Linked DNA regions of Saccharomyces cerevisiae S288C. The gene in region 1 interacts genetically with each later gene. Each region holds a gene or a part of one and is shown in the gene's direction. Other genes may lie near its edges.

The links.
Region 2: mutations in NAM8 (region 1) and TGS1 are lethal when combined (synthetic lethality), as found in Saccharomyces cerevisiae (4 studies listed by BioGRID, with this or other methods).
Region 3: mutations in NAM8 (region 1) and YHC1 impair growth when combined (synthetic growth defect), as found in Saccharomyces cerevisiae (4 studies listed by BioGRID, with this or other methods).
Region 4: mutations in NAM8 (region 1) and MUD1 together harm fitness more than expected from each alone (negative genetic interaction), as found in Saccharomyces cerevisiae (4 studies listed by BioGRID, with this or other methods).

Annotation. Positions count from the first base shown.
Region 1 is NC_001140.6:276,519-280,232, forward strand, and holds NAM8 (Nam8p), read left to right. Parts: upstream 1-1,634; coding exon 1,635-3,206; downstream 3,207-3,714. Other genes in the region: IPI1 (Ipi1p), read left to right, coding at 246-1,250; YHR086W-A (uncharacterized protein), read left to right, coding at 3,713-3,714. UniProt on the Saccharomyces cerevisiae protein: Component of the U1 small nuclear ribonucleoprotein complex (U1 snRNP) involved in the initiation of meiotic recombination. Involved in the formation of DSBs at recombination hot-spots through meiosis-specific splicing of REC107 pre-mRNA.
Region 2 is NC_001148.4:252,821-256,301, forward strand, and holds TGS1 (RNA methyltransferase), read left to right. Parts: upstream 1-1,993; coding exon 1,994-2,941; downstream 2,942-3,481. Other genes in the region: AIM44 (Aim44p), read right to left, coding at 1-1,490; pheromone-regulated protein PRM4, read right to left, coding at 3,093-3,481. UniProt on the Saccharomyces cerevisiae protein: Catalyzes the two serial methylation steps for the conversion of the 7-monomethylguanosine (m(7)G) caps of snRNAs and snoRNAs to a 2,2,7-trimethylguanosine (m(2,2,7)G) cap structure.
Region 3 is NC_001144.5:724,199-727,243, reverse strand, and holds YHC1 (Yhc1p), read left to right. Parts: upstream 1-1,827; coding exon 1,828-2,523; downstream 2,524-3,045. Other genes in the region: ECM38 (gamma-glutamyltransferase), read right to left, coding at 1-1,175; YLR297W (uncharacterized protein), read right to left, coding at 2,811-3,045. UniProt on the Saccharomyces cerevisiae protein: Component of the spliceosomal U1 snRNP, which is essential for recognition of the pre-mRNA 5' splice-site and the subsequent assembly of the spliceosome.
Region 4 is NC_001134.8:477,582-480,859, forward strand, and holds MUD1 (Mud1p), read left to right. Parts: upstream 1-1,756; coding exon 1,757-1,764; intron 1,765-1,853; coding exon 1,854-2,742; downstream 2,743-3,278. Other genes in the region: TEF2 (translation elongation factor EF-1 alpha), read left to right, coding at 90-1,466; CBP6 (Cbp6p), read right to left, coding at 2,854-3,278. UniProt on the Saccharomyces cerevisiae protein: Involved in nuclear mRNA splicing. The principal role of the U1A is to help fold or maintain U1 RNA in an active configuration. It is the first snRNP to interact with pre-mRNA.

The DNA of each region.
Region 1 (3,714 bases):
TCAATGAGTTTCTTAACATGACCTCCAAAACTACATGATCGCTTAGTATTACAATATGTGTTTATCCACTATTTTGATACCAACGTAGTATTGCCTTTTATTTTTCAGAATGGCAAAGGCCATCGGAAAATTTTTCCACCAGAAAAAGCGAGATTCCTAATTATAAGGTGAAGGCATCGATGTTCATAATAGTTAAAAGTTGTAATCAAAAAAGAAAAAGGTGCAGAGATAAACAAAGTTAATAAATGACAAAATCAAGAAAGCAGAAGCAAAAAAAGCAGGATTTTTTGAGAAAAAAGTTAAAAGTTGGTAAGCCAAAGGAAAAAGCAAGGAATGCTACCGATACATCTTTCGTTTCCAAGACTATTTCTATTAGAAATCAACATTTAGACCAAAATCCACATGATTTAACAAAACGGCTAACGCTCTTAAAGCATCATAACATCAATGTGAGAAAGGAAACATTAACAACATTCCAAAAGTCAATACCGTCTATAATAAAATCTCGACTTATGACACCATTACTTACTCAAAGTATACCGTTGATTTGCGATGAATCGCAGCAAGTACGTCAGGGACTTATTGATCTCGTAGATGAAATAGGTAGTCACGATGCGGAGATTTTAAAATTGCACTGCAACATTTTTGTCTTATACATTAACATGGCAATGACACATATTGTTACACAAATTCAAGCAGATTCTACTAAATTTCTCTCTCATCTGTTGAAGTATTGCGGAGATGAAGTGGTTAGGAAATCTTGGGTAAAACTTTTGAACGGTGTCTTTGGAGTGCTCGGTTGGGGACAGGTAGGGAAAAATGATAGCGCTAGCATAGTGCAAACGAAGAAGCGAAACGCCAAATATGTCACTATTCATCTCAATGCTCTGTACACTCTTGTTGAATACGGATGTCAGGATGAACGCGCTAGAAGCGACGGAGACACGGCAGAGACTACAGAGGACAGCGGTACGCTACGAAACCCATATTTAATCCCAGATTATCCGCAGCCGTTTGAGCACTTGAAACTATTTACCAGAGAATTGAAAGTTCAGGATGCTACCTCCAGTGGAGTAAATGCCACACTACTGTCATTGGCAACACAGGATATCGATACTCGAAAAGCGGTATTTATCGAACAATTCCTGCCTATAGTACGTAAGAAAATCGAAGTAATTATCAAGGAAGGTGGTGAATGTGGTAAAAGTGCAAACAAGCTTAAAACGCTGCTTGCAAAAATCTTTGATTGACGTTTCATAAGAATACAATATATAATTGATAGATTGTACTTTTTTTTTTGTTACCCTCAGGAGAGGCAGGGCGAAAAATGCAGAATCTTGGATTTTTTTTAAGTAGATCTAAGTTTGTTTATTTTTCAAATACTATTGGCACAAAGGGAAGGGCTTTTCAGGGATTATTCAGATTCGAGTTGGTGGTGAAATTGTGTGTGCGTACATCCTTATATCAGAGCTTTCCTTTAGTGACAACATTTAAATCGACGTGACCTTATTCGGGTAGTCAAACACCGAACCATATTCTTTGCCCTTAGGTTACTTTCCCTTCATTTTATCAGCTTAGTCGATTAAGTTCGTGTCTATATCCCGTCAAAAGTTCCTAATACATTGCGGGTACAAATGTCCTATAAACAAACAACATATTATCCTAGCAGGGGTAATCTGGTAAGAAACGACTCATCTCCGTACACTAATACTATTTCCTCAGAAACCAACAATAGCAGTACAAGCGTATTGAGTCTTCAAGGCGCATCTAACGTGAGTTTAGGGACCACTGGTAACCAATTGTACATGGGCGACTTGGATCCTACATGGGATAAGAATACCGTTAGGCAAATTTGGGCATCTCTGGGAGAAGCGAATATTAATGTCCGGATGATGTGGAATAATACGCTTAATAATGGGTCGAGATCATCAATGGGTCCAAAGAATAATCAAGGATATTGCTTTGTTGATTTTCCCTCATCTACTCATGCAGCAAATGCACTTTTAAAGAATGGTATGCTTATACCCAATTTTCCAAATAAAAAATTGAAATTAAACTGGGCTACATCCTCATATTCAAACAGCAACAATTCTCTTAACAACGTGAAGAGTGGTAACAACTGTTCTATATTTGTTGGAGACTTAGCACCAAATGTTACAGAGTCTCAATTATTTGAACTTTTCATTAACAGATATGCTTCTACTTCTCATGCCAAAATTGTGCACGACCAGGTTACCGGGATGTCTAAGGGCTACGGTTTTGTAAAGTTTACCAATTCTGATGAACAACAGTTAGCTCTGTCAGAAATGCAAGGCGTATTTTTAAATGGTAGAGCCATAAAAGTAGGACCCACATCTGGTCAGCAGCAGCATGTCAGCGGTAACAACGATTACAACCGTAGTTCTTCGTCACTAAACAACGAAAATGTAGACTCGAGATTTCTTTCCAAGGGTCAATCATTTTTAAGCAATGGAAATAATAACATGGGCTTTAAGAGAAACCATATGTCTCAATTCATTTATCCAGTCCAACAGCAGCCGTCTTTAAACCACTTCACTGATCCGAATAACACCACTGTGTTTATCGGAGGATTGTCATCACTGGTGACTGAAGACGAATTACGTGCTTATTTCCAACCTTTTGGCACGATAGTCTATGTCAAAATTCCGGTAGGCAAATGTTGCGGGTTTGTCCAGTATGTTGATCGGCTATCGGCTGAGGCTGCCATTGCTGGGATGCAAGGGTTCCCCATTGCAAATTCAAGAGTTAGACTGTCTTGGGGCAGGTCTGCTAAGCAAACAGCGTTGCTTCAGCAAGCCATGTTAAGTAACTCTTTACAGGTTCAACAACAGCAACCAGGTTTACAGCAACCTAACTACGGATACATTCCATCCAGTACGTGTGAAGCACCTGTTCTGCCAGATAATAATGTTTCATCCACGATGCTTCCTGGATGTCAAATTCTGAATTATTCTAATCCATACGCTAATGCGAATGGATTAGGCTCGAACAATTTCAGTTTCTACAGTAATAATAATGCTACAAATACGCAAGCTACTAGTTTACTGGCTGACACTAGCTCTATGGACCTCTCAGGCACGGGTGGCCAACAAGTTATCATGCAAGGAAGCGAAGCGGTTGTTAACAGCACTAATGCAATGTTAAACCGTTTGGAACAAGGCAGTAATGGTTTTATGTTTGCTTGAGCCACACGTGTATATAAAAATGTTTGTTTTCCTTTTGGCCCTTTTTCTTTCTTGGTATTTTCTTTACTTCAGTGTTAAATTGTATTTGGTCTTAGGCTGACGGTGATATAACAGCGCTTTATTTTCTTTTTTTCATTGCTTTTTATCGTTTTCAAGATTCCATGTCCTTTTATTAAGTCTTTTTTGTATCGTTATAGTTGCGTTTTTCCTTTTGATTTTCATTTCTTTCAAGGTTATTGTTATTCTTAATTCAATTCAAGATTGTACGCTTTTAAGCATGTTTATGATTTTCCTTTATTACTTCCATTTACCTTCTTTCCATCACTACTCATTACGGCCTGTCAATTCCTTTTTTGCGTCACCTTCATTTTTTCTTCTCTGTTCTTTTCTGTATTTGTCGAAAATTTTATATTGATGTATCTTAATTTTATTTTTAGTATTATTATACTGTAAATGTTTCTTACTGTGTCAAGATTTCCCGTTGCGCTATCTTCCAAGACTACGTAAT
Region 2 (3,481 bases), on another chromosome or scaffold:
ATGGATAACGGAATAACTTTATTTTCTACCACAATTGATGGCTGTCTTGCAATTGCATTTAGGGCCGTCGATGGTTTTGACCTTACCAATCTTGACCTCGAGTACATGCTGCTGTTGCGAGTGACGGCATGACTAACATTATCCGGTACAGAAATGAAGGAGTTTTTATTATTTGCCGGTGTCATAGTGGCAGATGCGGTTAGGATGGATGCAGCCCTTCTAATAGAGGAATTTGTTCTTCTCAATGATGGAGTATAGCTTACCAAAGGGCTCCTTGGGGTGTTTGATCCAACTTTGGAATCTTCAGATTGGGGATGGTTTGCTTTAAATTTCGTATCAACTGTCAAAGGTTTAGTCTTTTTTTGTGGAGCCAATACAGGTACTAAAGATTTTGATGAGATCGACCGTTGTAAATTAGAGACGTATCTCTGCGATTTTTTTTGACGCGGAGTAGAGTTGCTGTTTTTGTTGACTAGGTTCGTCCCTCTTTTTTTTGACTTGTTGTTAATGTTTGCTTTAGATTTAGTGGTTTTGGAATTCGTGGCGGAGGGGACCTTTTGAACATTATATGAAAACAGTCTTCTTCTTAAAACTAGCCGTAATTTCCGTAACTTTTTCTTTATCTTGATTCCCAATGAGGTGAAATAATATAAGAGTCCGCCCTTACATCTAATAGCTTTTGATCGTTTTAGAGAACAACGACTGCTACTTGATTTACTGCTGACACTTGAACTATACCTGGAATTGGAAAACCTCGAGGATTCAACTCGTCTTATGGTCGGAACTCTGTTTAGCTTTTTTTTAGGTTTCGGTACTACGCTATTGTTTAATTCGATAGTTTTTATATCCTTTTCCATATTTAATTTGGTCATCGGTTTGGCTTCTTGGGTCGACGGCAGAATGGCGCTTTTAGATGTCGATTTCCTTGGTAATAACGATGATGCTGATGACGGCGCGATATCGTAGGAAACATTATCTGCTGTTGGGATAGTCTGGAATGCCGTTGAGATTGAGCCAGTTATGTTTCCCTCTGGAATAGCTTCCATTGAATGTAACTGGTTTTTAACTACATTTGAGCTGCTATAATGAAGAGAGTCATTTCCTGGGAAGTCATGAGAAGCAAAAAAGTCACTTTTGTTCGAGTCTGAGGAAGTTAATCTAGCGGTTTCATTTTGATTGATTACAATACGTGGTGAAGACGTAGTATTGTCAGAAATGTTAGCAAATGAATAGTATCCATTTGATGAATAACCGGAATTTGTATTTGTATTGGAAGTGGATGTATAGTCTGATAATGTTTGAGAGTTTCCGTCTTCATCGCGAGAAACTCCATTTTCTGCTGCAAACACATCATTTAAAAGATGATGATTATTCAAATGGTACTCTTCTAGCGTTCCTCTTGGTAAACTTTCGTTAGACGGGAATTTAAAATCCATTTGATCGCCTCTAAACGACTTGGTTTTTGTCCTTATTGGAGCTCTGATGATCATTCCGTATGATATATTTGTTGTGATAATAAGCCAAATTTATTTGAGCACTATTGTTAAGTTAATTGTTCTTGTTTTACTTGTTAAGCCGTTAAGTTGTCAACCGAATTATCAAGCACTTAAATCTATATATACAACATATTTGTACAAGAATTGATGACCTGCTGAAAGCCCAGCAATCTGGTTATCCCAGTTGAACATGTTTAAGGATAGGCATATCGACTTCTTTATCTTACTAACCGAAATATTGAATTGCCTGTGTAATGAATGGCTGGAGCAGCCTTTTTTTTATCTTCGCCAGCCATCGCTTTTTTTGAATATTTTCCACATGAAAACAATGTATGAAAAATTCTAAGGCATCGCACCAAACTATATGAAGGGGAAGTGAGTTATTCCGCAAACAGCGAGTAAGTTTTTCGTTGTATTGATTGCCCATATTATATACCGTGTTGTGGGGGCAACAGACAGAAGTAGAAGAAAAAATTTTTGTTGATTTAACTGAAGTGATGGGAAGGACATTTATTCATGCTTCGAAAATAAAACATGCGGCACGCAAAAGAAAACATCATTCCAACTTTAGAACTCTGATCAAATTATTGAACAATGATGCCTATAAGATAGAATCATCAAAACCGTTGAAAAATGGTAAACTTTTCAAATACTGGAAAAATAGGCGTAGATTGTTTTCAAAGATAGATTCGGCGTCGATATATATGACTGATGAGCTGTGGTTCAGTGTGACGCCCGAAAGAATTGCCTGCTTCCTGGCAAATTTTGTTAAGGCATGCATGCCAAATGCCGAAAGAATACTGGATGTTTTCTGTGGTGGGGGCGGGAACACCATACAATTTGCCATGCAATTTCCTTACGTCTATGGAGTGGACTACAGTATTGAACACATATATTGTACTGCGAAAAACGCCCAAAGCTACGGTGTGGACGACAGAATATGGCTGAAGCGGGGATCCTGGAAAAAGCTAGTCTCTAAGCAGAAACTTTCCAAAATAAAGTACGACTGTGTATTTGGATCACCCCCGTGGGGTGGTCCAGAATACTTAAGAAACGATGTGTATGACTTAGAGCAACATCTAAAGCCTATGGGGATTACCAAGATGTTGAAAAGTTTTCTTAAACTAAGCCCTAATGTGATTATGTTTTTGCCAAGGAACTCTGATTTGAACCAGCTTTCTCGAGCTACGAGGAAAGTACTAGGTCCATTTGCCAAATGTAAAGTATTATATGTAAAGGAGAATGGATATATGAAAGGAATATTTTGCATGTGGGGGGAATGCTTTTTTAACTACGAACCAGCAAGTACGGAGAATAGTCGAAGGGAGTCGTCCGAAAAGGAAGAGCTGAGTTCTGAAAACGAAGAGCTCTCGAAAAGAAAAAAGCATGAATCCACAACAACGACCAAAGATAATACTGTAGACATTTACGACGTAAATGGTTAAACACTTGTTCAAGTTGAATCGTATGATAGAAAATGCAATGACTATGTTATGAATGTATATATAGCACATAAAGAGGATCGCTTACGTGAATTTGGGAATAATTAAAACGTTCTTTTAGCTGCGGCTGCTCGTCGATAGGAGTGATAACAAATTAAGAATTAGAAGGGATGTCTTTTTTTTCTACCAGCAAGTTGCCACGCGCTTCAGACTTTAGAAGAGGTAGTAGCAATCCCTTCGAATGAGGTTCGATTATATCTCTCACCATTCCACGATTTATCACGGAAATACCATTCAAAAATAAATAAGGCGACTGAATGGATTCCAAGGCAGCACTAGTATCGATATTTAGTTTATTTTGTTTGATATACTTTTCTAATTCATAGCCATGAGAGTGTTTTTCCAAATCAACAGTGGCCAATTCGGGTGAAATCTCAAATTCTCTTTGTAATAGATTTTTTAAGAAAATGGAGTCTGCTTGTGATGATTTAATGAATAATACCGCTGGAGAGGTTCTTATTATATCTAGAAAATCTGTTCTAG
Region 3 (3,045 bases), on another chromosome or scaffold:
TTTTCATAATCGCCCCCTTCTTGATTCTGGAAATTATCCATTATCCTTAACGCCGCAAGTAGTGCAGCCCCGGAACTTGAGCCGCTACTTGTTAATACGGTCATATCGTTATCAGGGATGAAATTGGCGCCCTTCCTAATTTTCATGGACAGTGGTTTAGTAACATGAACATCATACGATGAAACATCCTGCAAGTTCATTATTCCATTGTATTTTGCGACAGTATCAATCATGGATTTTGCAATCCAGTGATCGGGGTCATAAAATGGGGCCACGGAACCATTTTTAGCCAGTTCCATTAGCATGTTAGATAGTGCCGGCCTCTTGATCCAATCGCCTTCTTTCAAAACACCGTCATGGGTAGAATTCAATACAAACGACCAATCTTCCTTCAATGTCAGGAAAACATCCTCATAAAGTTCTAAAGTGGCACCGAGTGCTTCGCCTATTTGCCAACCCACGCTTCCCAGCTTTGCGACTGGTTCAATTAGATCACGCCAATCAACTTGGCCGCTACCTCTTTCTTTAAAGAGGCGATAGAGACCCATCAATTCACCTGGAACACCGACAGCAAGACCCCCTATTTTTGAGCATAGAGAGCAGTTTTCGAACATGAACTTATGTGAATCCATGGGTGCTTTTTCTCTAAAATCAATGGATAGATGATCTTCATCGTCTTTGCCAGAAAAAACTACGTAGCCACCACCTCCAATCCCACTATTAAAAAAATTCACCATACCCTTACAAAGAGCTTGTGTTACTGCAGCGTCTGCAGCGTTAGAACCGGGAAATTTCAGGAGTACCTCATTTATAGTCAAATTACTACAGACTTCTAAATCTGAACTTATAGCACCATGCAAACCGACTTTTAGAAGTTGCCTATCAGGCGTTAAACTAGGACGGCGAGGTAAAGGGTCAATATCGATGTTATGGTGATCCTTATCGCCGCCATCATCATCGTCGTCTTTTTTCAAATATTCTGCAATAATGTCAACATCTCGATTGGCAGACCCTCGAAGGAGATTATTTATTCTCTGCAAAGTCTCCTGAGAGGCGAATGATACCATTTTTGACGGCATTCCGGACACTAACACACCCAGTGTTAACAGAGTGAATATATGCAGTATAAAACAGGTATTTAAAGTCTTGGGGACTTTTCTATTACACAACAGCATAACTGTAAGTCTAGTACGCTACTTTTTGTCTTGTCTTTTTGTGTGCCTGACAACGCCCCACTTGAATCTGCGTTAGCTTTTTATTCTATTATTTAAGATAACTGTGCAACAGGAAGTCACGATCGAACTTTACGGAAGAATTATAATATTGAGAAGTGCTAGTACACACAGGCGCACACACACATATATATATGTATCTATATACGTGTATGTAGATTTGGAAGTCGAATAGATAAATGCCGTTATGTTCCCTCAGAGAAAATTGATAAGCGGGCAAAAGGCGGCACTAAGACGTTCGAAGGGGCGGATCTTTTCTTTTGATCAACAACAGGCACAGCCGCTGAGTAATATAGTTATGATTTTTCTAATCTCATGTAGGTAATAAAATCTTAAAAGTTATTTTTATTTTCACTCTTTTATATGTGAATAGAGACACTTGTATAGAGATAATAAACGGTTCAAACTCTTTTCACTTTCATATGTTCCACACAGTACCTTATCATTGAACACTAGATTTCCGCAAGTGTCAAGGTACATAGGCGGGTAAGCGTTAAGGATAACAGAAAATATTCTTGCTATACTGAAGATATAATATGAGCTCCTAGTGTAGGCGATGAAGGTGCTCAAGTAACGGAGAGGAAAGAGATAGGCAATGACGAGATACTATTGTGAATACTGTCATTCGTATTTGACCCATGACACGTTGAGCGTTCGTAAATCGCACTTGGTCGGTAAGAATCACCTTCGTATAACAGCTGACTATTATAGGAACAAAGCAAGAGACATTATTAATAAACATAATCATAAAAGACGCCACATTGGAAAAAGAGGCAGGAAAGAAAGAGAAAACAGTAGTCAAAATGAGACGCTAAAAGTTACATGCCTTTCAAATAAGGAGAAAAGACACATCATGCATGTGAAGAAAATGAACCAAAAAGAACTGGCACAAACCTCAATAGATACCTTGAAATTGTTATACGATGGCTCACCAGGATATTCCAAAGTATTTGTGGATGCTAACAGGTTTGATATAGGAGATTTGGTTAAAGCCAGCAAATTACCCCAAAGAGCCAATGAAAAATCTGCACACCATTCCTTCAAGCAAACTTCAAGATCCAGAGATGAGACGTGCGAGAGCAATCCATTTCCTAGGTTGAATAACCCAAAGAAGCTAGAACCCCCAAAGATATTATCACAATGGAGTAACACCATTCCAAAAACTTCTATATTTTACAGTGTAGATATACTGCAAACCACGATCAAGGAGTCCAAGAAGCGGATGCATTCCGACGGCATACGGAAACCGTCGAGTGCCAACGGATATAAAAGGAGGCGGTATGGAAATTAACGCTATCAGATTAGATTATTAAATATTATATGTAGACTATATTTTGCCAAAAAAAACAATAGAGATATCAACAACGAATGAAAATGGTATGATGAGAATAAAAAAAAAGGAAATAAAAAAAGGAAAATTAAAAAATTGAGATTAGTTGAATTGAAAAAGGAAAAAAAATGTTTGGTATGCGATAATTAATTGAATGTGCACGATCGTTACTATCATGAGAATTAAAATTTAAAATGTCCAACTTTCGGGCGTGAAGAGCGGTGCCATCTATTATATCTATTTTTATTTCATGCTTTTTCAGCAAGTGCTTGCTTTTCTTCATCGTTGGACTGTAGTTTCTTATCATTACTGCTGCCTGAACGGAGAGATATGAATATCATGCCAATCAACCCAAGTAGTAAAACTCCAACCACTACAATAATAAAAGATATTATGAAAACAGCGAGTATGTTTTCCAGTGGTTCATTATCGAGGTTAAAATTTGAGAGATCCGGGGTCCCAGAAACGAGTGTGTGCACATCT
Region 4 (3,278 bases), on another chromosome or scaffold:
CTATTCTACTTGTTTATTCCCTTCAAGGTTTTTTTTTAAGGAGTACTTGTTTTTAGAATATACGGTCAACGAACTATAATTAACTAAACATGGGTAAAGAGAAGTCTCACATTAACGTTGTCGTTATCGGTCATGTCGATTCTGGTAAGTCTACCACTACCGGTCATTTGATTTACAAGTGTGGTGGTATTGACAAGAGAACCATCGAAAAGTTCGAAAAGGAAGCCGCTGAATTAGGTAAGGGTTCTTTCAAGTACGCTTGGGTTTTGGACAAGTTAAAGGCTGAAAGAGAAAGAGGTATCACTATCGATATTGCTTTGTGGAAGTTCGAAACTCCAAAGTACCAAGTTACCGTTATTGATGCTCCAGGTCACAGAGATTTCATCAAGAACATGATTACTGGTACTTCTCAAGCTGACTGTGCTATCTTGATTATTGCTGGTGGTGTCGGTGAATTCGAAGCCGGTATCTCTAAGGATGGTCAAACCAGAGAACACGCTTTGTTGGCTTTCACCTTGGGTGTTAGACAATTGATTGTTGCTGTCAACAAGATGGACTCCGTCAAATGGGACGAATCCAGATTCCAAGAAATTGTCAAGGAAACCTCCAACTTTATCAAGAAGGTTGGTTACAACCCAAAGACTGTTCCATTCGTCCCAATCTCTGGTTGGAACGGTGACAACATGATTGAAGCTACCACCAACGCTCCATGGTACAAGGGTTGGGAAAAGGAAACCAAGGCCGGTGTCGTCAAGGGTAAGACTTTGTTGGAAGCCATTGACGCCATTGAACAACCATCTAGACCAACTGACAAGCCATTGAGATTGCCATTGCAAGATGTTTACAAGATCGGTGGTATTGGTACTGTGCCAGTCGGTAGAGTTGAAACCGGTGTCATCAAGCCAGGTATGGTTGTTACTTTCGCCCCAGCTGGTGTTACCACTGAAGTCAAGTCCGTTGAAATGCATCACGAACAATTGGAACAAGGTGTTCCAGGTGACAACGTTGGTTTCAACGTCAAGAACGTTTCCGTTAAGGAAATCAGAAGAGGTAACGTCTGTGGTGACGCTAAGAACGATCCACCAAAGGGTTGCGCTTCTTTCAACGCTACCGTCATTGTTTTGAACCATCCAGGTCAAATCTCTGCTGGTTACTCTCCAGTTTTGGATTGTCACACTGCTCACATTGCTTGTAGATTCGACGAATTGTTGGAAAAGAACGACAGAAGATCTGGTAAGAAGTTGGAAGACCATCCAAAGTTCTTGAAGTCCGGTGACGCTGCTTTGGTCAAGTTCGTTCCATCTAAGCCAATGTGTGTTGAAGCTTTCAGTGAATACCCACCATTAGGTAGATTCGCTGTCAGAGACATGAGACAAACTGTCGCTGTCGGTGTTATCAAGTCTGTTGACAAGACTGAAAAGGCCGCTAAGGTTACCAAGGCTGCTCAAAAGGCTGCTAAGAAATAAGAGTAATAATTATTGCTTCCATATAATATTTTTATATACCTCTTATTTTTATGTATTAGTTAATTAAGTATTTTTATCTATCTGCTTATCATTTTCTTTTCATATAGGGGGGGTTGGTGTTTTCTTGCCCATCAGATTGATGTCCTCCAACTCGGCACTATTTTACAAAGGGTTTTTTTGTAAGAGAAGGAGAAGACAGATACTAAACCATACGTTACTCGAAACAAAAAAAAAAAAAATGGAAAAAGCTGCTATCAACAAAAGACGGCCTCATCAAACCTAAAGAAACCATGTCAGCGTATGTATATACCTTGTAATTTACGTTTCCTTAAATCTTCTTTCTACTAACGTTTTCATTATTCTATACTCTATGACCAATAAAAACAGACTGTACTTTCAAAATTTACCCAGTAGGCCAGCAAATAAAGAAAATTATACCAGATTACTTCTGAAACACATTAATCCCAACAACAAGTATGCCATTAATCCGTCGCTACCCCTTCCCCACAATAAATTACAAATATCATCACAACCGCTGATGTTACTAGATGATCAAATGGGCCTTCTTGAAGTTTCTATTTCAAGATCATCAAAGATGACTAACCAAGCATTTTTAACGTTTGTCACTCAAGAAGAAGCAGACCGGTTTCTAGAAAAATACACGACAACAGCATTAAAAGTTCAAGGTCGTAAAGTGAGAATGGGAAAGGCTCGAACAAATTCGTTATTGGGTCTTTCAATAGAAATGCAAAAAAAAAAAGGTAATGACGAAACGTACAACCTTGATATAAAGAAGGTGCTTAAAGCAAGGAAACTTAAACGCAAGTTACGTAGTGATGATATATGCGCCAAAAAGTTCAGGCTTAAAAGGCAAATAAGACGCCTGAAGCATAAGCTGAGATCAAGAAAGGTAGAGGAGGCTGAGATTGATAGGATTGTAAAAGAATTTGAAACCCGTAGATTGGAAAACATGAAGTCTCAGCAAGAAAATCTAAAACAATCGCAGAAACCTCTTAAGCGGGCTAAAGTGTCCAATACAATGGAAAATCCACCGAACAAAGTCCTTCTTATACAAAATTTGCCAAGCGGCACTACCGAGCAATTATTGTCGCAAATACTTGGCAATGAGGCTTTAGTTGAAATCAGATTAGTTAGCGTTCGTAACCTAGCTTTCGTGGAATACGAGACCGTTGCTGATGCTACGAAAATCAAGAATCAGTTAGGCTCCACTTACAAGCTACAAAACAATGACGTTACCATAGGATTTGCTAAGTAGAATTTCCTTTGCGGAAGTATACCTCGAGTAAAGAAATTCACAGATAAATTTGAATAACGTTCTCCATTATGAATAAATATGTATTTACAAGCTTAGAAAATAATGTGCTCTTTATTTACCAAATAATACAGTTCTCATTGCAGTAAATAAGCTTTCCTTTTTCTTACCGTCAACGGCATTTATTAACCGTTGATAATATTGGGGATTTCCTGCAGGTTTATAGAGCTTATCGCCAATATCGTAATAGTTTCTGAATTTATTATTCATTATAGTGCTCAAGGCACGAATTTGCTCGTTGATGCTTTCTTCCGTGAATTTCTCATCTACCATTTTATTTTGAATTTTGGTTAACATCTCCTTATTCAGTCCTAATGGACCGGAAGTTCTGTTAATTATACTTTTTATTTCATCTAATGAGGGTTTTTTCTCTTTTATAGATTTTCCTTTGTCATCTACATTTGGCAGACCCGCTACACGTCTAAATCTTGCTATTTGTACATCCCTGAATGAGACCAAGTGGTGTATACGATCCTTTG